6 linked regions of the Macaca fascicularis genome follow. The protein of the gene in region 5 binds, or shares a complex with, the protein of the main gene of each other region. Links are inferred from orthologs where the notes say so. Each region holds a gene or a part of one and is shown on either strand. Other genes may lie near its edges.

What was found.
Region 1: PIGQ (region 5) and PIGP share a complex: the UniProt entries of both Homo sapiens proteins name them as parts of the glycosylphosphatidylinositol-N-acetylglucosaminyltransferase (GPI-GnT) complex. The link is inferred for Macaca fascicularis from reciprocal best matches to the Homo sapiens genes PIGQ and PIGP.
Region 2: PIGQ (region 5) and PIGH share a complex: the UniProt entries of both Homo sapiens proteins name them as parts of the glycosylphosphatidylinositol-N-acetylglucosaminyltransferase (GPI-GnT) complex. The link is inferred for Macaca fascicularis from reciprocal best matches to the Homo sapiens genes PIGQ and PIGH.
Region 3: PIGQ (region 5) and PIGY share a complex: the UniProt entries of both Homo sapiens proteins name them as parts of the glycosylphosphatidylinositol-N-acetylglucosaminyltransferase (GPI-GnT) complex. The link is inferred for Macaca fascicularis from reciprocal best matches to the Homo sapiens genes PIGQ and PIGY.
Region 4: PIGQ (region 5) and PIGA share a complex: the UniProt entries of both Homo sapiens proteins name them as parts of the glycosylphosphatidylinositol-N-acetylglucosaminyltransferase (GPI-GnT) complex. The link is inferred for Macaca fascicularis from reciprocal best matches to the Homo sapiens genes PIGQ and PIGA.
Region 6: PIGQ (region 5) and DPM2 share a complex: the UniProt entries of both Homo sapiens proteins name them as parts of the glycosylphosphatidylinositol-N-acetylglucosaminyltransferase (GPI-GnT) complex. The link is inferred for Macaca fascicularis from reciprocal best matches to the Homo sapiens genes PIGQ and DPM2.

The regions. Positions count from the first base shown.
Region 1 is NC_088377.1:9,901,903-9,906,181, forward strand, and holds the start of PIGP (phosphatidylinositol N-acetylglucosaminyltransferase subunit P), read left to right. Parts: upstream 1-1,479; 5' UTR 1,480-1,743; coding exon 1,744-1,817; intron 1,818-2,127; coding exon 2,128-2,231; intron 2,232-4,279. UniProt on the Homo sapiens protein: Part of the glycosylphosphatidylinositol-N-acetylglucosaminyltransferase (GPI-GnT) complex that catalyzes the transfer of N-acetylglucosamine from UDP-N-acetylglucosamine to phosphatidylinositol and participates in the first step of GPI biosynthesis.
Region 2 is NC_088381.1:135,501,309-135,505,256, reverse strand, and holds the start of PIGH (phosphatidylinositol N-acetylglucosaminyltransferase subunit H), read left to right. Parts: upstream 1-1,148; 5' UTR 1,149-1,218; coding exon 1,219-1,398; intron 1,399-3,948. UniProt on the Homo sapiens protein: Part of the glycosylphosphatidylinositol-N-acetylglucosaminyltransferase (GPI-GnT) complex that catalyzes the transfer of N-acetylglucosamine from UDP-N-acetylglucosamine to phosphatidylinositol and participates in the first step of GPI biosynthesis.
Region 3 is NC_088379.1:94,070,560-94,073,309, forward strand, and holds PIGY (phosphatidylinositol N-acetylglucosaminyltransferase subunit Y), read right to left. Parts: upstream 1,401-2,750; 5' UTR 1,306-1,400; coding exon 1,090-1,305; 3' UTR 501-1,089; downstream 1-500. Other genes in the region: PYURF (protein preY, mitochondrial), read right to left, coding at 1,401-1,542. UniProt on the Homo sapiens protein: Part of the glycosylphosphatidylinositol-N-acetylglucosaminyltransferase (GPI-GnT) complex that catalyzes the transfer of N-acetylglucosamine from UDP-N-acetylglucosamine to phosphatidylinositol and participates in the first step of GPI biosynthesis.
Region 4 is NC_088395.1:15,133,792-15,137,291, forward strand, and holds part of PIGA (phosphatidylinositol N-acetylglucosaminyltransferase subunit A), read right to left. Parts: intron 2,963-3,500; 5' UTR 2,901-2,962; coding exon 2,186-2,900; intron 1,496-2,185; coding exon of another isoform or gene 1,448-1,495; intron 1-1,447. UniProt on the Homo sapiens protein: Catalytic subunit of the glycosylphosphatidylinositol-N-acetylglucosaminyltransferase (GPI-GnT) complex that catalyzes the transfer of N-acetylglucosamine from UDP-N-acetylglucosamine to phosphatidylinositol and participates in the first step of GPI biosynthesis.
Region 5 is NC_088394.1:1,334,782-1,337,060, forward strand, and holds the end of PIGQ (phosphatidylinositol N-acetylglucosaminyltransferase subunit Q), read left to right. Parts: intron 1-108; coding exon 109-170; intron 171-738; coding exon 739-891; 3' UTR 892-1,779; downstream 1,780-2,279. UniProt on the Homo sapiens protein: Part of the glycosylphosphatidylinositol-N-acetylglucosaminyltransferase (GPI-GnT) complex that catalyzes the transfer of N-acetylglucosamine from UDP-N-acetylglucosamine to phosphatidylinositol and participates in the first step of GPI biosynthesis.
Region 6 is NC_088389.1:16,050,654-16,054,828, reverse strand, and holds the start of DPM2 (dolichol phosphate-mannose biosynthesis regulatory protein), read right to left. Parts: upstream 2,801-4,175; 5' UTR 2,761-2,800; coding exon 2,758-2,760; intron 2,144-2,757; coding exon 2,054-2,143; intron 1,279-2,053; coding exon 1,176-1,278; intron 409-1,175; coding exon 350-408; 3' UTR 1-349. UniProt on the Homo sapiens protein: Regulates the biosynthesis of dolichol phosphate-mannose. Regulatory subunit of the dolichol-phosphate mannose (DPM) synthase complex; essential for the ER localization and stable expression of DPM1.

The sequences.
Region 1 (4,279 bases), on a different chromosome or scaffold from region 5:
TCCGCAGGAGTAAAATCTGTAAGATTTCTACCTCGTTTCCCTCGCCAGGATGTTGGGCAAAATGGAAAGCGATTTAGGTGAATGCCATAAAATACTCTACAAACCATTAAATATCATCAAGAACGGCTAAGGACAGCATCGCCCAGCAGGCGTGTGCATATATTTTGAAAGGTCTCTGCAACTGAGGGGGTTCTGACGTCCAGGGCGCCTCTGTTTGAAAACGCACGGCGAACTGGTACCAGCCCAAATTCACCTGTCTCGGCTCCATTTTTTATCTTTGATCCCTCTATTCTGTGCCCTGAACAGGCTGGCTGAAGAAGCCACACTGGCAGCGTCAACACTGCGGAGCAACTGGCAGCGTCAACACTGCGGAGCAACTCGCCAGACTCGATCCTGTCCACCCCCCTTCCCTTTAGCGTCTGTGGGGGAAGATGCTCAGAAAGAGGCGCGGGGGCGAGGGGAGCGGCGAGGTTACCCCCCTCCTGGGTCCGTTCCGTAGGGACAGGCCCTGGACTGGACTGCCAGTTCACACGAAAACAGGTGACAACAGAGTCGTGAACACACGCACACACAGCAAGGGATGTGCACGAACGTTCACGAACACGCACCAACGAAACCCGCACACAAGAGATACCCACTCGACAAAACTAAACCCGCACACATGAGATCACGCACTCGACAGAACCCATGCGCAGACACTCTGGGGACACTCGGAGACACGCGAGGACGCACACTCGCGCGAGCAAGGCTCTAGGCGGGGGTCGCGATTACAGGAGGCGCGGCCACGCGCGCTGGGGAACGCGCAGCCCACAGACATGGGCAGTGACACAAAGGGGGGGCCACCCGCGAGGCCGAGAGCGCCCCCGCAGCCGCCAGGGAGCGCGGACACCGACACAAAGGGGACCACGAGGCGACACGCGAGCGCGGGCCCCTCCACCCAGCAGGGGGTGTCAGCCACGCACCGGCCGAGGCACGGGCAGCGGGGGAATGCGCACAAAGCGACTACTCCCACCCTCGCTCCGGCATCCCAGGGCCTCGCTCGCAAAAGGGCACCAGACCAAGGGGACAAACCCACTGGGGCAGGCAATAGCGGCCACACCCCCTCATTGCGCGGGGCCCCAACCCATGCAGACACACAGCGGGCACCGCAGCGAGGAACGCGGGGTGACGCGCACACACCCACACTCACCACACACCCACGGAGGGGGTGTGGAATGCCCCACTCCCCCGGCATCTCGGCTGCAGCGGGACAAGGTGACACATCCGGGAGCCCGGCCGCGCGCCGGGTGTGCACTCACCCGGGCCCGCCGCCCGCGAGCCTCGGCGCAGGCAGCAGCCTCCGCCGCTGCTGCCGCCGCAGCCGGCACCTCCGGCCCTCCACGTCAGCCGACGGCGGGAGGGAGTGGGCGGCTGCGCTGAAGGGAGGTGCATCACGTGGGCGGGCAGCGCGCCTGCGCAGTCGCACCCCACCGCCCCCTCCTTCGCCGTGGCGATTCGCGGGATCACGCCGGCCTCGTGCCGCCCGGCTCCCACCCAGGGAGGGTCCTCGTGCGCCTGCGCCAAGGTGGGGGGTGTCGTTGCGCCTAGGCCTTTCCCTCAGGTTTTCCTCTTTTCTCCCCCACTGCGGCGCCTGGTCGGCCCTTGCGCAGAGAACTCAGCGCTGAGGTGGCCGAGGTGTCGAGAGGGGCCCGGGTGGGCGTACGAAGGACCCGAGGTCGAGGGCCCCCCCATACCCTGCCTCGAATGAGAAATATAAATCTCCACGAGTGGGCAGGGCCCGGGGCCTGGGCGCCGCGACCCAGCAGGCCCGCGTGCTGGTGGGCGCCGCGCGAGCCTTGTTCCCTGCCCTCCCCTCCCACAGGGAGACCACGCTGGCAGAGCTGGAGCGCGCCTCTGTCCCCCCGAGCCCCTCTCGCTGCCCTATCCCCCGCCACCCCTTCTGTTGCGGGGCGCGCGCCAACCTGGGTGCCTGTGTGCGCGCGAGGCGGGGGCGCGGGTTGCGGACGGGGGCGCGGGAGGCGGTTCTGTGCGGCGGGGGCCGTGCCCGCGGCGGAGCGATGGGGCGAGAATGGACCAATGGTGCCGGGGAGCACCTCGCTGATGGCTGATTGTGTTCCTTTTCCACAGGTTGTCTAAAGCCCCAGGAAAAATGGTGGAAAATTCACCGTCGCCATTGCCAGAAAGAGCGATTTATGGCTTTGTTCTTTTCTTAAGCTCCCAGTTTGGCTTCAGTAAGTACTTTCCTGATGGATGGCCAGGGGCTTTTTCTGGCGTTCAGTGACAAGGGAAGAATCCATTGGTTAGACTGTGTACACATGAACTGTTGATTCTTTCTCCCTATGTCTCTTTTTAAGAGAATCTGAAGGGAACTCGTGTTTGTTGAGTGTTCTGTGTGCCAGCACTAGCCTAGGAGGTTTTAGTCTCTACAAATATTTATACAGCGCCAGACGCGATGGCAAAGTGAATAAAGCCTGGTCCCTGCCCTTAAGGAGGTCGTGGTCTTGTGGAGGAGACAGATGAGTAAATCTACAGTTAGTGCTCAGTGTCAGGGGAGCACGGTGGAGAGACATTGAAACCAGACTGGAAAATCAAGGCTTTTACAGAGGCCTTTCCCCCTGGCACTGATGCTGGTTAGAAAAGAGTAGGAGAGAGGGACGACGTGGAAAGGCCGTGAATGAGGGCGTGAGAGGGTTTGGACCCGAGGAGCTTGGTATGGCACCAGTGTGCCCTGCGGGGATCTGGGGAACAAAAGAAGTAGCCCAGAGAAGTCAGGTTGAAAGGTGTGTCCTTTTCGTCCTGGATCTCCCTTAATCCCCATAACGTTCCGTTTTACAGATACGGAGACTGACGCTCACTGAGACACTAGTATGCTCAGTCACACAGCAAGCCCCAAGTCTCTCCCCAAAAGGATTTGGGAATTTTGAGGCACACAAGAGGGAGAAAATTGAGTGCCCCTGATCCAGCGTTTTGCAACTCTTTGGAAACTAGGAAAGTGGAGGAGTGGTAGTACTTCTGAACCCTAACTAAAATATATCAGCCTGCACCATCAGTACAGCTTGCAGATGAATGTAATGGCCAGGCTGTTACAACTGAAATGAAGTGAAGAAGTTACAACTGAGTTCAAATTCTGACTCCTCCACAGATTACCCATGTGAGCTGGGACGCTCAGCAAATTTTTTGAATCTCAGGTTCCTTATCTGTAAAAGGTTAGTGATAATGATGGTTATTAAATGCTTATGACACATGAAACAGTTCTATGGGGTAGGTTCTGTTATTATTGTCCTTTAAAGATGAGCATCCTGTGGTTTCAGTAACTTACTCAAGATTGCAAAGCTACTAAATGATAGGCCTCTAAATTTGAACCCAAATACACCGACTGACTTCACTCTGCTGCCTCTTCTGACTGTTGTGAGGATTAACCGGGGTAATTTATGTAAAGCATGTAAAATAATGCCTAGGAACGGTTAAGGACTTAATAAGTGTTAGCTACTGATGTTATTGTTAGCAACTTTCGTAAATCCTTGTTCAAAGAATGTATCAAGGATTAGAAGCTATATGAATAAATAAAAGCAATCACTTTAAGACTTAAATTCTGGCCAGCGCAGTGGCTCACGCCTGTAATCCCAGCACTTTGGGTGGCCGAGGCAGGCATATCACCTGAGGTCGGGAGTTTGAGACCAGCCTGACCAACATGGAAAAACCCCGTCTCTACTAAAAATACAAAATTAGCAGGGCATGGTGGCGCATGCCTGTAATCCCAGCTACTCTGGGAGGCTGAGGCAGGAGAATCGCTTGAACCTGGGAGGGGGAGGTTGCGGTGATCGCACCATTGCACTCCAGCCTGGGCAACAAGAGCGAAACTCTGTCTCAAAAAAAAAAAAAAAATTAAATTCCATGATACACACAACCAAAAAGTAATTCAAGTATTTATTGGTGCTTACCATGTGCCAGGCACTGTTACAGGCTAGGAAGGACCAAAACAGCCAAAAATGCCCTGCTTTCATAGAGTTTTTATTCTAACGCTGGGGGGAGATAGTCAATGGACAAATTAAATAAGAAAAACGTATACAGTATCAGGTGATAAAGTACCATGGGGAGAAATTAAGCAAGGGGAAGGAGGATACGGAGTGGAAGGAGGGCCTTTTAATGTGCTGCTGTGTCTTTTTTTTTTTTTTTTTTTTTTTTTTTTTTTTTTGAGACGGAGTCTCGCTCTGCCGCCTAGGCTGGAGGTGCAGTGGCGCGATCTCGGCTCACTGCAAGCTCCGCCTCTCGGGTTCAC
Region 2 (3,948 bases), on a different chromosome or scaffold from region 5:
TCCGTACAAGACCCTCTTGGATCTGACCCCTACCTACCTCCCCCATTTCCAACTGTTTTCCTCACATATCAACCTTTCTGGCCTTTTGATTATTTCATTAAGCCAAGTTTGTTCCAATTTCGAGGGGTTTGTCTTTCCTGGTCTTCCTTTCTGGCAAATTCCTCCTCCAGAGCTCCTTCAGTCCTGTCTGGTTCCTCACCCTTTGTAACTCCAGTGTCCTCTTAGAGACTTCCCATGACTGCCCTATGTAAAGTCCTCAGTCAATCCCTGCCAGTCAGCATAGTATTGCCAACAATATTCTCAAGTTATTTCCATATTGTCTCCTACTAGAAAGGAAGCTACTTGAGGGCAGAGACTGTCATCAACATCGTTCACTGCTGCATCCTCAGCACCTCAAACTACCCGGCACAGGAAAAAAGTGGAATGAATACCCGTGGACTCTTCTTGCGTCTTTCCGGCTTAGAGAAATCACCTTGCCAAGCAAAAGCGTGATTAAAACTGTGGGTTTGGGCTGGGTGCGGTAGCTCACGCCTGTAATCTCAGTACTTTGGGAGGCCGAGGCGGGCGGATCACCTGGGGTCAGGAGTTCGAGACCAACCTGGCCAATATGGTGAAACCCCGTCTCTACTAAAAACCCAAAAATCAGCCGGGCATGGTGGCGCACGCCTGTAATCCCAGCTACTCAGAAGGCTGAGGCAGGATAATCGCTTGAACCCGGGGGACGGAGGTTGCAGTGAGCCGAGTTCGCGCCATTCCATCTCAAAACAAAAACAAAAAACAAACTGTGGATTTGCTTGTTTTTAGACAGGGTCTTGCTCTGCCGCACAGATTAGAGAGCAGTGGCATGATCTCGGCTCACTGCAACCTCGACCTCCCAGGCTCAAGCGATCCTCCCACCTTGGCCTCTCAAAGTGCTGGACTACAGGCGGGAGCCAACGCGCCCGGTCTAAAAACGGTTTTAATCCGTCCGCTGAACTATTGCCCCCGACGGGCTTTGTTCGAAGACAATCACAGAAGCCGGGTCAAGGCCGGCCCGGACGAATGCACAGTCATCAACCCCACACAGGGTTCTCGGCGCGCAACTGAGGCTGCGCAGGCTTAGGGCGGGGCATGGTGACGCGGCTGCCGGAAGCGGGTCTGGAGCAGGCGAGACGCCTAGAGCGGGCGATCGCTGTGGAGCGCCGCGCGGTGCGGTGCTGGCGGCCGAGTCGGGGCATCATGGAGGATGAGCGGAGCTTTTCGGATATCTGCGGCGGCCGCCTGGCCCTGCAGCGCCGCTACTACTCCCCGTCCTGCCGGGAATTCTGCCTCAGCTGCCCTCGGCTCTCGCTGCGTTCGCTCACCGCTGTCACCTGCACGGTGTGGCTGGCGGCCTACGGACTCTTCACCCTCTGCGAGGTAAGGGCAAGTCGGCCCCTCCCCGCGGTCGAAGGAGGGGGTTCGGCTTTGGGAGGGTCTTTGGGATCTTTGGTCGAGCCCGGACCTCTGGTCGGCCCCTCCTACAATGATAGAACAGAAGGGCGGGAACTCACGGGTTCTGGGGACGACAGGGGACGACATTCCGCTGCTGGACAGCTCTTTAAATGACGTTTAGTGAAGTGTGTGCTCCTGGACAGTACCTTCCCTCTCCGTGGCTGTGCTCTGCTCGGTGGGTTCACTCAGCACACATCTAGTTCTTGCACGACGGTATAAAACTTTAACTTGCATGTGTTCTATGTAGTATAGGCGCGCAGTAATTTAATTCCAGGAGTTCAGGGAACTCTTAAGTGAGTCTTCCTTGTCCATCACTTCTGCTCCTCAAAGTAGTACTGCTAACAATACTTTATGTAGACTTCCACAAACTGTCTTTGCCTCCACAAGTGTGTGTGTTTATCCGTGTGTATAGATAGTGTTAGAGTTCTTCCTAATCTCTGTTTTTCAAGGCAGTTTTTTAACCCTCCGTCCTCCCAAACCCTTCCCCAATTTCAAGTACTTTCTAAAGGATTATGAAATTTTGGACGTGTGTGATATCTGTGCTCAATTTCCAGATTCATTCCTGTTTTCTTTGAGCCTCAATTTTCTATATCTCTAATAATAGAATTCATGCCTGCCATACCAGCTTCATGATATCGTGAGGGTTAAATGCAGTAACTTTGTGACAGCTCTCAAATAAAAAGAATTATCCCAGTTTCCCTTTTCAGGATGAGTTCTAGTTTCATATGTAGTGCCTGAATTGAATGTATTATCCCAGAAGTGATCTTATCAGAGCTAAGTACAGCAGGGCTATTTATTTCTGTAACTTGGATATTGTTTCCATTACTGCATCCATTAGCTTTTTTGCTGTCAAAGCATGTTTCAGAGCATGGTAATTTAGCATAGAAATATGCAGAATTAAGACTGCCCTAATTGTAGGAAACTGTATCTAACTGTATCTAAACTGTATGTTTGTTCAGGCGAAGGGCTGTACCTCACGCCTGTAATCCCAGCACTTTGGGATGCTGAGGCGGGCGGATCACTTGAGGTCAGGAGTTCGATACCAGCCTGGCCAACATGGTGAAACCACGTCTTTACGAAAAATACAAAAATTAGCTGGGCGTGGTGGCTCACGCTTGTAGTGCCAGCTACTCGGGAGGCTGAGGCGGGAGAATTGCTTGAATCTGGTAGGCGGAGGTAGCAGTGAGCTGAGATCACGCCACTGCACTCCACCTGGGCAACAGAGGGAGACTCTGTCTCAAAAAAAAAAAAAAAAAGAAAGAAAAAAGTTTATTCATAAGTCTGTTAAAATGATTAAGTTGATAGCCCCCCTAGAATTTAATTTACAGTATAGTTGAATTTTAGTACTAGCCTGAGTTTTTTTTTTTTGAGACAGAGTCTCGCTTTGTTGCCCAGGCTGGAGTGCAGTGGCGCGATTTTGGCTCACTGCAAGCTCCACCTCCTGGGTTCACACCATTCTCCTGCCTCAGTCTCCTGAATAGCTGGGACTACAGACACCCGCCACCACACCCGGCTAATTTTTTTTGTATTTTTAGTAGAGACGGGGTTTCACTGTGTTAGCCAGGGTTTCACTGTGTTAGCCAGGATGGTCTCGATCTCCTGACCTTGTGATCCTCCCACCTCGGCCTCCCAAAGTGCTGGGATTACAGGCGTGAGCCACCGCGCCCAGCCTAGCCTGAGTTCTTATAGCCTATGTGTGTGGTCATGTGAGGAGGAGGAAATAGATATTTATTAAATGCCCACTGAGTGCCAGATGCTTTTCTGAATTCCTTACTTTAGCCCTAGAACGAAGAAAACCAAAGCTCACAAAGAAGGGTGAGTTATCCAAAGTCTCAAAGCAGTAAATGGCAGATCTGGGCTTCCAACCCAGGGCTTTCTGACTCTGAGACCCTTTCTTTTCCTTTATACCATTGTATAGTTGATCTTAGGCAAAATTTAAAAACAAAAATCTGTTTTTGTGCCAGGTCCCTTCTGTACTTATCTCTCTCATCCTGGTGTACTCTGCTTACCCCTATCAAGTACCCCAGGACTCAGTGACCACATCTTCCTTTAAACTCTACTGCAATACTTTCTAAGGGCTCTGTGTGCCAAAATTTCTTACCTTTCCTATTCAGAACTGCTTATGAGAGTAATGAATATCTGGAATGAGAAGAAATCTGATTGAAGGAATTCATTCAAACATACAGCTTAACCCCAACCCAAATGAATATTGAATTGTTTCAATTCTACACAGTAAAATGAAGTTGAAAAAAATGCAGATAGTAGGGCATGGATTGCTCTTATTGGAAAGCTGACGTGATCAAATCCTTAAGGATTTACTGTTCTTCATCCCTACATTCCTTCTTGTTTTTAAGTTCACAGTTCTATTAAAGTTCCAGGTTGTTCCCTTGTTTATTCCAACCTGGAATGTTCTTCCCCCTTCCCTTTCAACTAATTATATTGGTCACTAACCACCACCTCCCCTGCACCAATTAA
Region 3 (2,750 bases), on a different chromosome or scaffold from region 5:
TGTCATTTATACTACAGTATACCCTGAATTAATTCAAAAGAAAACACATCTAACATGTCTTAATTTTTTGATGCAGAAGAATCACTGTTTCAGGTTTCTGTTAACATAAGATTCCAATAAAAATAAAGTTTGTATTCGGTTCTTTGGTTTCTCTGGGTTAACTACTGAAACACACTATACTTCAGAAGTATTATACTATGCTCGATTAGTCTTACTGAAAGTTCTGGAAAATCAGAGGCTATTAATGTGTCGATGCTCATGCCCTTAGTGGTGTTATTCAGCGTCCTGGGAAAATAAACTGAAATGTGGCTCAAAATATGGCTCTAAGCTCAACAGGGCACAATCCACTACTTGCAAGTCTTCCCACCCCCTACTTTCCTAGGAAATGATTCTATTTTAGGTATTAAGTACCTCTCTCAACACAGCTATATTTAGTGCAGTTTTACAACTTCCCTTAGTATCAATAACACTTCTGTGACCAAACAAATAAACAAAACAAATGATTACAAACTGGTTTATTTTTTATGGGAAAGTGTCAACATCTTTATTGCTAATATAAGCATTTAATGTCAAAGAAATGAAGGTAATTTTACAAACTCAATTTTTGTAAGTACATGAAATTTCTATTTCATTATATGGTTTTGTATCACATTCATTCAAATGCATTTCTCTCCCTTACAGGGACTATTCCAACATCACTCCTTTGGAATTATTTCAGTCATCCCTAACATGTGACTTTACCAAAGACCTTGAAGCTAAACAAACAAGCAAAACAAAATTTCAATGACTTTTAGATGAATGGAATAAGAAATAGTCATCACATGTCAATTAGGGATGTTTATCTCCAACAAGACACTGTCAAAATGTTTCTTCTGATACAGCAGTTATAAGTCAGAGCCTTCAAAAAACAAGGGCAGAACAAGAGCACAATAAAAGAAGCACCTGCAACTTAAGCCTCCCACAGTCCTAAGCCTGATATGCGCAAAGCAAAGCCTCTTTCCCACAAACTCAATTCCATCCATTTGAGCTTTCAGAGATAGATGCCCAAGAACTACCATTAATGTATACAGCATATTGACTCTAGTTGCATCAATTATGCCTGAAGAGTTTAATACCCATCCAAGTCCAAAGGTGGAAGAATACATACACTGGTATGGTAATAGGCAAGAGCAGGCTGTAAAAGCAAAGGCTGGCTGTGCTAGTGCAGCCCTGTGGGAAGTTTTCTTCCACAGAGGCTGAGTAGAACAGTCCTGTTAAAGAAACCAGTGGAATAAGAACAGTCAATGTAGGAAGAGACAGAAACATTCTTCTCTTCCACTTATTACCTGCCACTGTGTTTTAAAAGGTATATGGTACTAAGAAAAGTTGGCTGTTGCGTTTTATGTTTTTTTAATTATGAACTAGCGCTGCTCCACTTCTTCCTGCTTCTTACTTTGATGCGTCATCCTAGCTGCCTGTGGTATCATATTAGGAATCCCATCAATGATTGGATAAGCTATTCCCAACTCTTCATTAATCAATTCATTTGTTGATGCTTCATATCTGGGGTGGAAAAAAAAAAGAACAAAATGAGTTGTGGAAAAATAAAATAATTGAAGAGCCTGATTTTCAACAAATACCATCATTTATCCAATTCTTGGTATGGAGTTAATCCCAGAATAGTCTTCTTTCATTAAAAGCAACGATAGCCAATTCAACCTTTTATCTTAGAAAAATTCTCTTAGAATCTATAATTATTCCCATTTTAGTCAGTTTCTCTCATATTCTCTTTTTCACCTTATTCACAAGTTATTCTTTAATTTTTTTTTCATACTAGTCAGAAAAGATCCCCCTCTCTTATCCAAATATTCCTTCATTACTTTGGTCAACCCCCAAATCATCTCTGTTAATTTACTACTGGAATAAACACTAGAGAAAAATCAACTTCTTCGTTTTAGAATAAATGCTAAGCAGAAAAACTTAACTAATCCATTAGAAGGAAATCACTGGAAAAGGTGAGAGGGCAGAAATGAGGAAACTTTGGAAAGCAGTAAGTCTGCCGTGAGCTAGTTATAAACGCAAATCAAATAATTTCAAGGTTTGAGAAAACTGAATATGTTTATTATGGGAAAAAAGAAATATGAAAAATTGCTAGCAATCTACCACTCAAAGATAACCACTGACAACGTTTTGGTGTTTCGTTTATGCGATTTGTAATACTAGCGTTAGTGTTGTCAATATTCCATTTTTGGGAGCTTGGAAACTGTAGAGCTGTCTTCCCAAAAACTAGGTTAAAGAGGCTTCTAAGAAATCTGCTAGGCCACAACTAAGAGCCACCAGGCAGCATACACAGCTGAATTGCTTAAGATTGTCAGGCACCAGTTGTACAAGACACTTTCACAAGAATCTGGAGGGTAAAATACTTTTCATTATCTTGGCTTAAAAACCGGATGGCTTTGGACTTGTCCTGAATCGCAGTAATTCAAGAACCTGGTGGTACGTTAGAAATCATTTAGGGACCATTTAAGAACACAAATAAGCTGGGCGTGGCGGCGGCGCCTGTCTCCCGACTCCTGAGGAGGCTGAGGTGGGAGTTCTAGGCCAGTCTGGGCAACGTAGGGGGGCACCCTGTCTCTTAAAAGGAAAAAAAGAAAATACAAATGTTCAGGTCCCAACCCCCGAGCATTCCAAGTCTGCCCGTCTTGGGGGCTGCAGGGGAATCGGCATTTTTAAAACGGTCCCCGGGTGATTGCAAAGAGCAGCCGGTCGCG
Region 4 (3,500 bases), on a different chromosome or scaffold from region 5:
ACCTCCACTTAAATGGACTGCTGGGTCAATCAAGGTTCTCCATTCCAAACGTAAACTGACCAAGGCCCACATCTAGATTTTAGGCCACTCCCTAGCACACTGGCACACCACTGAGCTCAGTGCTTATCAAGAAACAGTTGTGTTTGTTCACACATCTGTTTGATGTCAGTTGTACTTGTCATCGTGTTGAGTAATTTAATTCAATATCACATAAACTGATAAAAAGAGTTTCTACAAAAACTAAGCTGAACAGTTTGAAAAATCCAATAAAGGAAAGTCACAGAAAAAAGTTCTTGGCAGATGAGGGGTGTCCTAAACTGCTGTATAAAACTGAAAACAAATTAAAATTCCTGAAGCATATCAGTTCATATGCCTTTAAGTTCTGACCCCACTCAAAAGAAACTCAAAGTAGCAATGGTAGATTATGTTTTGTGAAAGGGAGTGTACAAGATGCAGCTGAAACCAGTGGCCCAGCACTCAAAGCTGGCAGTCCTACATCCAACTACTGGCAACTCAGTGTGTATTAATATTTTGAGTTAAATTCAAATATTAAATATTTAAGGGGGTATGTTTTTTTTTTTTTTTTAATGATTCCCTACTATAAATGACACTTTTGATTAGTGGACAGGTTTTCAAATAGCACTCAGAAGACACTGTTTTTTATAACCAGACTGTGTCAGACTTTTAGTAAACAAGCCTCCACACATTCAACTGCAGTGTCCATTAAGTGCTGTAGAGGTACAAAAAACAGCCTCCTTGGCCAGGCGCAGTGGCCCATGCCTGTAATCCCAGCATTTTGGGAGGCCGAGGCAGGCGGATCACGAGGTCAGGAGTTTGAGACCAGCCTGGCCAACACAGTGAAACCCTGTCTCTACTAAAAATACAAAAAATTAGCTGGGCATGGTGGTGGGCGCCTGTAATCCCAGCTACTTGGGAGGATAAAGCAGGAGGATCGCTAGAACCTGGGAGGCAGAGGTTGCAGTGAGCCAAGATTGCACCACTGCGCTCCAGCCCAGGGGGTGACAGTGCGAGACTCCATCTCAAAAACAAAACCCAAAAAACCTCCTTGATAATAGTGGATAGTTACAAACTAGGCTAATAGTTTATAGGAACTATCACTGAACCCTTCCGAGGTTCCCAATGTTGCTTAAATTACACAAATGAAAAAAACTGAGACTTAGAGATGTTAAGCAACTTGTCCTCAATCACACAGCAGGACAGACCCATCATCTGATCCCGGGACATCTAATCCCCTTTTCTTCATCACTTACCTGCCAATATGTTATTAATGTCTTATACATGATGAAATGAAACAAGCAAGCTACAATACAGTAATGTGCAGAGCAAGCCCACTCACTGATTTTCAGTATATGTACGTACACATAAAAAAGACAGGAAAGCTATAAATCAAAATATTCATTAGGGTATCTCTGAATAATACAGTTACCGCTGATTTTAGTTTTCATCTTTGTGCTTTTCTTAGTTTCCAAAATATCTGCAATGAAAAGACATTACTTTGGCAATCAGAAGAAAAAAGCCATCTGTGACCTCTGCCCTTTACTTCTTTTTTTTTTTTTTTTTTTTTTTGAGATGGAGTCTCGTTCTGTCACCCAGGCTGGAGTGCAGTGGCACGATCTTGGCTCACTGCAAACTCCGCCTCCCGGGTTCACACCATTCTCCTGCCTCAGCCTCCCAAGTAGCTGGGACTACAGGTGCCCGCCACCGCGCCCTGCTAATTTTTTGTGTTTTTAGTAGAGACGGGGTTTCACCATGTTAGCCAGGATGTTCTCAGTCTCCTGACCTCGTGATCCGCCCACCTCAGCCTCCCAAAGTGCTGGGATTACAGGCGTGAGCCACCATGCCCGGCCTGCCCTTTACTTCTTTACCACATGTGCAGGGCTGTTTTTATTTTTAAAAAGACCTGAAATGTAACAGCATCAGGTTATTGTTCTTATTTTTAGTAACCATTAAAACATCAAAGGTTGGGGGACAGCATTCACCACCATCCTGAAAAATCTCTCTTCTTGGATATATAAACCAATATTAGAACTTTCTTTGCTATAATTTATAGCATTATAAAACCATAAAACAAAATGAAAAGCCAAACAATCATTACATACAAGTATTCAACAGCTTTCTACAGGGAAAAAACTCTACAATGCAATTATAGCTATCATTTCATTACCTTTTCTGTAAACAAGTCTGCTGACAACAACAATAGTTATACTATCATGCCTTCTAAATGGGTCTGGAGTGAAGTCAGTAGGATCTACAGCATTAGGAATGACGGATACTATTTCAGGATTCAGTGCTGCTCTTAGTACAGTATTTTCCTTACTAGTATAAGACACACAAATGATGTGGTTTGTATCACAAAGAGACACGGTTAGAAGCTTGTTTGTAAGCACCGAGCTGACATCAGCAAATCCAAAAAGGGAATGATCCGTGAAGACTGTCTGAAGCCCCATTGTCTTGGCGTGGAAGAGAGCATCATGGGCCATGGCAGAAAAAGAACTATGTGAATGGATTATCGTGACTCTCTCCCGAACGAATATGTACCTGAGCAATGGCAGACTGTGAAAGAGGGTCGTGGCTGTAGACTGGTTGTACATGACTTTCAGAGGCAAGTAATAGACTTTGAGGCCATTAGTGAGGTAACGGATGCCTTTTCGATTTCCATAAGCATGGGTGACAATTATAACCTTATGCCCTCTTTCAATCAGGCACTGTGAGAGCTGGTAAATGTGGCTTTCCACGCCTCCCATATTTGGGTAGAAAAAGTCAGATACCATGCATATATTATGGGCATGGGTTCTACATGTGGAAAGACTTCCAGGGCTAACCCGAGAGGGTGTAGCTGAGGCACGGTGGCCATCCCCAGCTGTTCCTCTACAGGCCATACTGAGATGGTTTAGGCATCAGTTCTTAGAGCAACCCAGTTAAGAGATGTGTCCTCTATTACCTGAAAAAGAGTAAAACAGGATCTCAGCTCAGAAACAAAACACATTCCTATTACAAATCCAGATACAGATACTGTTTTAATGTTAATGTAAATTTGTTAGCTTTTCCCCAGAATTAAAAACAAAGCATATCATCAATTTACTCATTTGACGTTTACTTGCTTGGCATTTATATACAACAAAACTAGGTTCTACAATGTCTTAATTTCGTCCTAAAAACACTGCTACATGTGTAACTTTAAATAGTAAGTTTGTTACACCACAGCATATCATGGTCCCCAACAAACCAGTCTCTTCCAATAATTAAGTATATACAAACACCATCCATACACACAGGTTTACATATTTCCCCTTTACTCTTACACTTTACCAGCTTCTATTAATACTTATTAAATGGCCACTATACATCAGCCACTACATGCTAAGAGTCTTCTATATCTTATTGCAGCCTCACCAAAACTCCATGAGTTATCAACTCCATCTTAAAAATGGAAAGTCTAAAGCTTAAAGGGGTTAAGAAATTTGTTCAGTTACTCAGTG
Region 5 (2,279 bases):
CAGCAGCACCTGGGTGCCCCTCAGAGAGGAAGGTACCTCCAGCCTCTGCCCATGCGTGGAGCTGGCCCCCACACGTCCTCCCTCGTAAGCCCCTTGCTATTCTTGCAGCTGGTGTGAAGTTCCGTGTCCTGCAGCATGAGGCCGGCAGGCCCCTCCGCCTCCTGATGCAGGTGAGGCCCCCTGTGGCCAGGACGTCCTATGCTGCTGCCCCTGTTCTGGAACAGTGGGGTCAGCTGGGTGTAGTGTCTGGATGGCACCATGCCAGCCTGCGATGAGGCACAGGGAGGGTCCAGTGGAGCTGAGGGGCAAGGCCCACCCGGGAATACCCCCCCTTACCCGCAGGGCCTGAGGACACTGGTGTCCTGTGGATGGGGCCCATTCTGCCCTGTGTCAGAGGCGCCCTTGGCTGGCTGGGGCTGCCCTGGGTCCCACAGGGCTCAAGTTCTGGGTGGAGTAGAACCGACTGAGTGAGTCCTGGAGTGGGGTGTGTGTCCCTGCAGCACGGCCCCTCAGAGTTGGGCAGCCCCGAGGGGAGATGCAGCTCCTGCCTCCCCACAGTGCTCCCTTCTGGCTGCAGGCTCACCTGCCTCCCTGGGAACTGGGACCGGCCTGTCCCACAGGCGAGGGAATGTCTGGGACGGTGCTGGCCCTGCCCCACCACTGCCTGCCCCCGCCCTCTCTCTGCAGATGGGGTTGGAGCTCAGACCACCCCGCTGACCGCCGCCCTTGTCCTTCCAGATAAACCCACTGCCCTACAGCCGCGTGATGCACACCTACCGTCTCCCCAGCTGTGGCTGCCACCCCAAGGACTCCTGGGGTGCCCTGTGCCGCAAGCTGTTCTTTGGGGAGCTCATCTACCCCTGGAGGCAGAGAGGGGACAAGCAGGACTGAGGGAGCCGGCCGCCGGCTTGCCCAGAACCACTGCACAGCCACGGCCAGCCCTCTGCCAGGGTGGTGCCAGCTCAGCTGGCGCGCGGCCCGTGCTTTGTGGACGCTGCTGTATGCTCCCGAACACAGCAGGCCCTGCTATCACACCTTGGGCTTGGAGGTCATTGGGGGTGAGCAGATGTGGGGGTGGCCAGCCCAGCTGGCCGCGCTCCATCACTGGCACTGCCTGCCTTGAGACCCGCTTCCCGCCTGCTGCAGTCACCACGGTGGCGAGCACAGCAGCCCCAGGTGTGCAGAGCACTGCCCCATGCCCACCCTGCGTACCCAGGTCCAGAGGGCCCGGGCCCTGACTCCCTGAACCACACGGGGTTTATTTGCTGATGTTCCCTGGAGAGGTCGCTTTGTGAAGGAGCTGTCAGCAGGCCGTGGGCATTGCCAGGCTGCTGTGGGGGTGGGAGCAGCCTTAGTGTCAAGGGCCTGCCCACTGACCCAGCCATACCTCTCCGTGAGTGGTGCCCCTGCAGCAACAGGCCCTTGGGCCAAATCTCCTGTCTCCCATCGTGGGCCTCCCAGGGAAGGCGGAAGCCCTGCTGTGCAGACACGTCTGTGGGCCACGGGTGTGAGCAGCCTGGGAGGGGCTGTGGCACTGAAGCCAAAAGTGCCTGCCAGACAGCACGGCCTGGGTGCGGGGTTCCCTTCAGGAGGGGAGGCTGCAGGTGCCGGCTGGTGAGGGGATGACGCGCTGTGGGCGGGAGGAGGCAGCGCCCGTCTCAGCAGCACCAGGACCACTCCGGACTCCCTGGCGACCCAGCACTGGGGAAGCCGTCAGCTGCTGTGCAATAAAACCTGCCCCGTGTTTGGAGCGCAGGCTCCGCCCCGGGTCCACGTGCACCACGAGTCCAGGGAAGCTCCAAGGTGGGGATGCGGACGCTACCCGAGGGATTTGGGCTGCCTCACGTGGGCCTGCCCTGCGGAGTCGACGCCAGTTTCCTGCTCGAGGCCCTGACGACGGCTGATGGGATGAGCTCGCAAGTCCTGGGCCCCAGAGGACCTTGGTGTAGGCGGGTGAACCCGGGCCCCCCCACCCTGGGGTCATGGCCTTGCCCTGACATAGATGGCGCAGGGGTGTAGGCCTCCAGGGGCGGGGCGGGGCGGGGCGAGCAGCTCCAGCTCTGGGTCTGTGGAGTCCATGCGGGGTGGGGCCCTCATGGGTCCTGGCCCAGTAGAGCCTGCAGCTGCCACATCTGCTAAGAACGGTCTCCGTTGCCTGCAGTGCAGGGGCCCACCTGGCAGGCCCCACAGCCCATTCCCGGCCCGAAGTGTACAGGCTTCCATCCAACCTGGACTTCCAGGCAACCAGAGGCTGGACTCAGAGGCACTCGGAGCCCACC
Region 6 (4,175 bases), on a different chromosome or scaffold from region 5:
TCCAATGTCAGCATGTGACAGGAGGGGAAGTGAGGCAACATGGCAAAACCCGGGGGAAAAGGTGGCAGGGAGTCTGAGAGTGAGGTTGGGAGACCAGCATCTTTTAGGCCCTGAGCAAGAAGGGGGTGACTGGAGTCTTCCAGGTATTCCTCCCTCCTAGCTTCTGGAAGTGAGAGTCAGGGAGGGGGCTCCGGTCAGGCAGGGGTAAGCTCCATGTCATGGGGACTCTGCAGGACAGGCAGGCTGGAGGCGCCACTGTGCCTGGACAGGTTCTGCAGGCTCCCCTACTTGGTCCCTGTGCTGGAGGGGAAGCAGAGAAGGGGCTGGCAGCCTCATCCCCGCGGGACCTTCACTGAGCCTTCTTGGTCACCCTCTCGCTCTTCAGCATCACGTAGGTGATGAACAGTCCTGGAATACATAGACCAGAAAGGCCACATAAGATCTAAGCTCAGGGCTGCTGGGAGGCCAGGGCACGACACAGCAGAGCCACCCACACGCAGGGCTGTGAACCTACCCAACCACTCTCCAGGGAACCTGCTTATCTCCCTAGTCATTCGTCAAGCCATAGGTCCACTCACATTCATTCAACAAACACCAGCTGAGTGCCTGCCTCAGGCAAAGATGCTGCATTTAGTGTTTCAGATTCCAAGGGGAACAAGATCCACCCATCTATAGATCACCCAGTCAACCACTTGTCCACCTATATACCTACCCACCTCCTATACCTCACCCACCCACCCATCCATCCACCCATCATCCAGGCACCCGGCTATTGACTGACTCATCCAAATGACTTTCTGAGCACAACCTCAGTGCCACAGCCCATTCTAGATGCACAGTAATGATGGAGACACAGTCCCCGCCCCTAGGAAGCCATGAGAGAGAGAGGTGCAGGAATTAGAAGCCAGGGTGACAAGAGGGTGACTGAGGTGTGAGCAGAGCAATGATGGGGTTGGGGGCAGGAAAGAGGGGGACAGGTCATTGGAGTCCAAAAAGCCTGGGGCACCAGGAAACCCAGAGGTTACTGACTGGCAACCTCGAAGGATGAACAGGAAAACCCCAGGGGTGAGTTCGGGGCAAGGAGCTTCCAGCAGTGCCAAAGTGTGGAAGCATGTTCAGAGGTGGGGTCCCCCCGAAACCCTGCCCGGGGTCAAGGGGAGGAAGTGATGACTTACCCACAAACAGGAGCAGTAGGAGGCCTGCAGCCAGTGGGATGGCGACAGCATAGGCTCGGGGCAGGAAATACTTGTGGATGACATGCTCACTGTCGATGAATGGCTGGCATCGAGGGCAGAGCTCTGGTGAGCCTTGCTCGCCTTGCCCAGCCCCCAAGCCCAAACACACCACCTCTAGCATCTAAGGGGCTGGCCCATTCAGAGCACTGGGCCTGCATTTGCTTTTCTTTAAGATTATGGCATTTGGGTGTCATGGTTTGTTTCCTTCCTTAATTTCTTATTGGTATTTACCGGGCACTTGCTTTGGTGCCTGCCATAGGTTGGTGGTGGGGACAAGAGAACAGGGGACAAGAGACCAGCCCTAAGGCACTCACAGGCTAGCAAATAGTACATGAGGAATCCTCGACTGACTCCCAACCTGGGCCTCCAGGGATTCTTCACTAATATTTTTTCCCTAAAGGATAGCAAGTTCTGCACTTCCAAACACACTGCACTTCTTAAGCAATGACCAACACGTTTTCCCACAAGAAAAAAATATCCTAAAGGCCTTCACAGATATCACTGGCGCTCGCCATGCCTGAGTCAGCAGGCTAACCCAGAAGGAACATAACTCCCCCAAAAGTCAAAGCAAGCTGGAAACAGAGTTTTAAGTGTAGCGGCTAAGGATGCAATCTTGGGCCAGATCCTTCTCCCCGAGCCTCAGCTATCTCATCTAAAAAATGCGGCACCACTGGCATCTTCCTCATAGCGTTGTTTTGAAGATTTCAAGAGATAAGGCAGGCAATGAAGCCAGCGCCGTGCCTAGAACCTACATAGAAGTTGCTTTGGCGGTGCCAGGGCTACGGGAAGGTGAGCAGCGGACGGGGAGAATGACATACCAAGAGAATCACCCAGGCGGTGTAGTAGGTGAAGATGATCAGGCTAACGGCGACGAGGCCGAGTCCCACCACCTGGTCTGTCCCCGTGGCCTGGAGAAAAGGGAGGTCTCAGCTGACGAAGTGACTCTCTATTTTGGCGTACTAATGGAGGCGGGGCGTCGCGGCCCAATCACGGTCTAAGCTTCCCATTCAACAGATGCTAGAGGAGGCCGGGCGCGGTGGCTCAAGCCTGTAATCCCAGCACTTTGGGAGGCCGAGACGGGCGGATCACGACGTCAGGAGATCGAGACCATCCCGGCTAACAGGGTGAAACCCCGTCTCTACTAAAAAATACAAAAAGCTAGCCGGGCGAGGTGGCGGGCGCCTGTAGTCCCAGCTACTCGGGAGGCTGAGGCAGGAGAATGGCGGGAACCCGGGAGGCGGAGCTTGCAGTGAGCTGAGATCCCGCCACTGCACTCCAGCCTGGGCGACAGAGCGAGACTCCGTCTCAAAAAAAAAAAAAAAAAAAAAAAAAAAAAGATGCTAGAGGGCTGACTAGGGATCAGTTTCTAGGCTGGGAGAGAATGCCAGGCCTCCGCGTTATCGTCCGTACAATAGGGGGGGCGGGAGAGCAATCCCCGTTCCAGTGCCCATGCCCCAGCTTCTGAGTACCCGAGACCCCACCCCCAGACGCCCCTATCTCCGGCACTCTGTCCCAATCTCACCATTTCCCCGCGCGTTCAGTCACCGGAGCCGCAAGCCACATCCGGTTCCGGATTCACGCTTTTCCGGCTTTGGGCTGCGGAGCGCGCCGGGAGTCGTAGTCCCCAGGCCGGCTCAGGCCCACGTCGTCGGAGACTAGCAGGAACCGCCTCCTCCCCTTTGCATATCGAGGAAGTGTAGTTCTCAAGAGCATTGTGGGGCCGGTTGCTGCCCGAATCTCCCTAGGGAATGGGACCGAGTTGGGGACCCAGACTCCCTGGCCTTCATGGCCACAGTCCTGTCGCCGCCCCACCAAAAGCCAATCTCTAAGTATCCCAAAGTCCTGGGGTCAGAGTGAGATGGGAGTGCGGGATCGGAAGTTCCATTTTTCAGATGGGAAAAGCGAGGCTCAGAGAAAGGTAGATCCCAATCCGAGTCAGTGGTGAAGCCGACACGGGAACTGGGGGGCCGTAACTAGTCTGTAGGTGGGAGAGGCGCAGAGAATGTTCACTTTTCAGCCTAGGATGGGCGGGGGAGGGTCTGTCCCCAGCCCGCATGAATGGGGAGGATTTGGATTGGTGGAGAGGGGGCGCCCTCCTCACCATCGCCTGGCCTCCTGGGCCACCCTCTGGATGTCCCCTCCTTTCCTTCACCGGCTGCCTCTCGCAGCAGCCCAGACATGTTTCGGACCAGAACCCACGCACAGGCCCCTCCCCGATCTTGGAGGATCCTTCCTCTGAGAACAAAGGGATGTTGGGCCAGATCATCTTCCACGCTTCTTCAGCTCCGAGATAGGAACGCGGGCCCCCACCACTCACCGGCCGGCTGCTCCCCATCCATCCAGCCTCACTGGGACGCCACGTTCCCCAGGGAAGCCAGCTGGGAAGGGTTTTTTTTCTTTCTTAGAAACGGAGTTCTATGTTACCCAGGCTGGTGTCGAACTCCTGGGCTCAAGCGATCCTCCCAACTCGGCCTCCAAAAGTTTACAGGCGTGAGCCACCGTGCCCAGCCTCCTGTGCCTTTTAATTCACTGACACACTTGTTCATCCGGCCCTGTCAGCTCCCTGAGGGTAGGATCTGAGATTGCTGCTGTATCCCTGGCACCCCGTGGAGGCTTGGCCCAAAGTAAGAGGTTTTTTTTGTTTTTTTGTTTTTCCCCCAGAGATGGGAGTCTCACTGTCGGCCAGGCTGGAGTGCAGTGGCGTGTTCTCAGCTCACTGCAACCTCCGCCTCCTGGGTTCAAGTGATTCTCTTGCCTCAGCCTCCCGAGTAGCTGGGACTATAGGCGCGTGCCAACACGTCCAGCTAATTTTTGTGTTTTTAGTAGAGATGGGTTTTCACCGTGTTGGCTAGGTTGGTATCAAACTCCTGACCTCAGGTGATCCGCCCACCTCAGCCTCCAAAAGTGCTTGGGTTACAGGTGTGAGCATCGCGCTCGGCC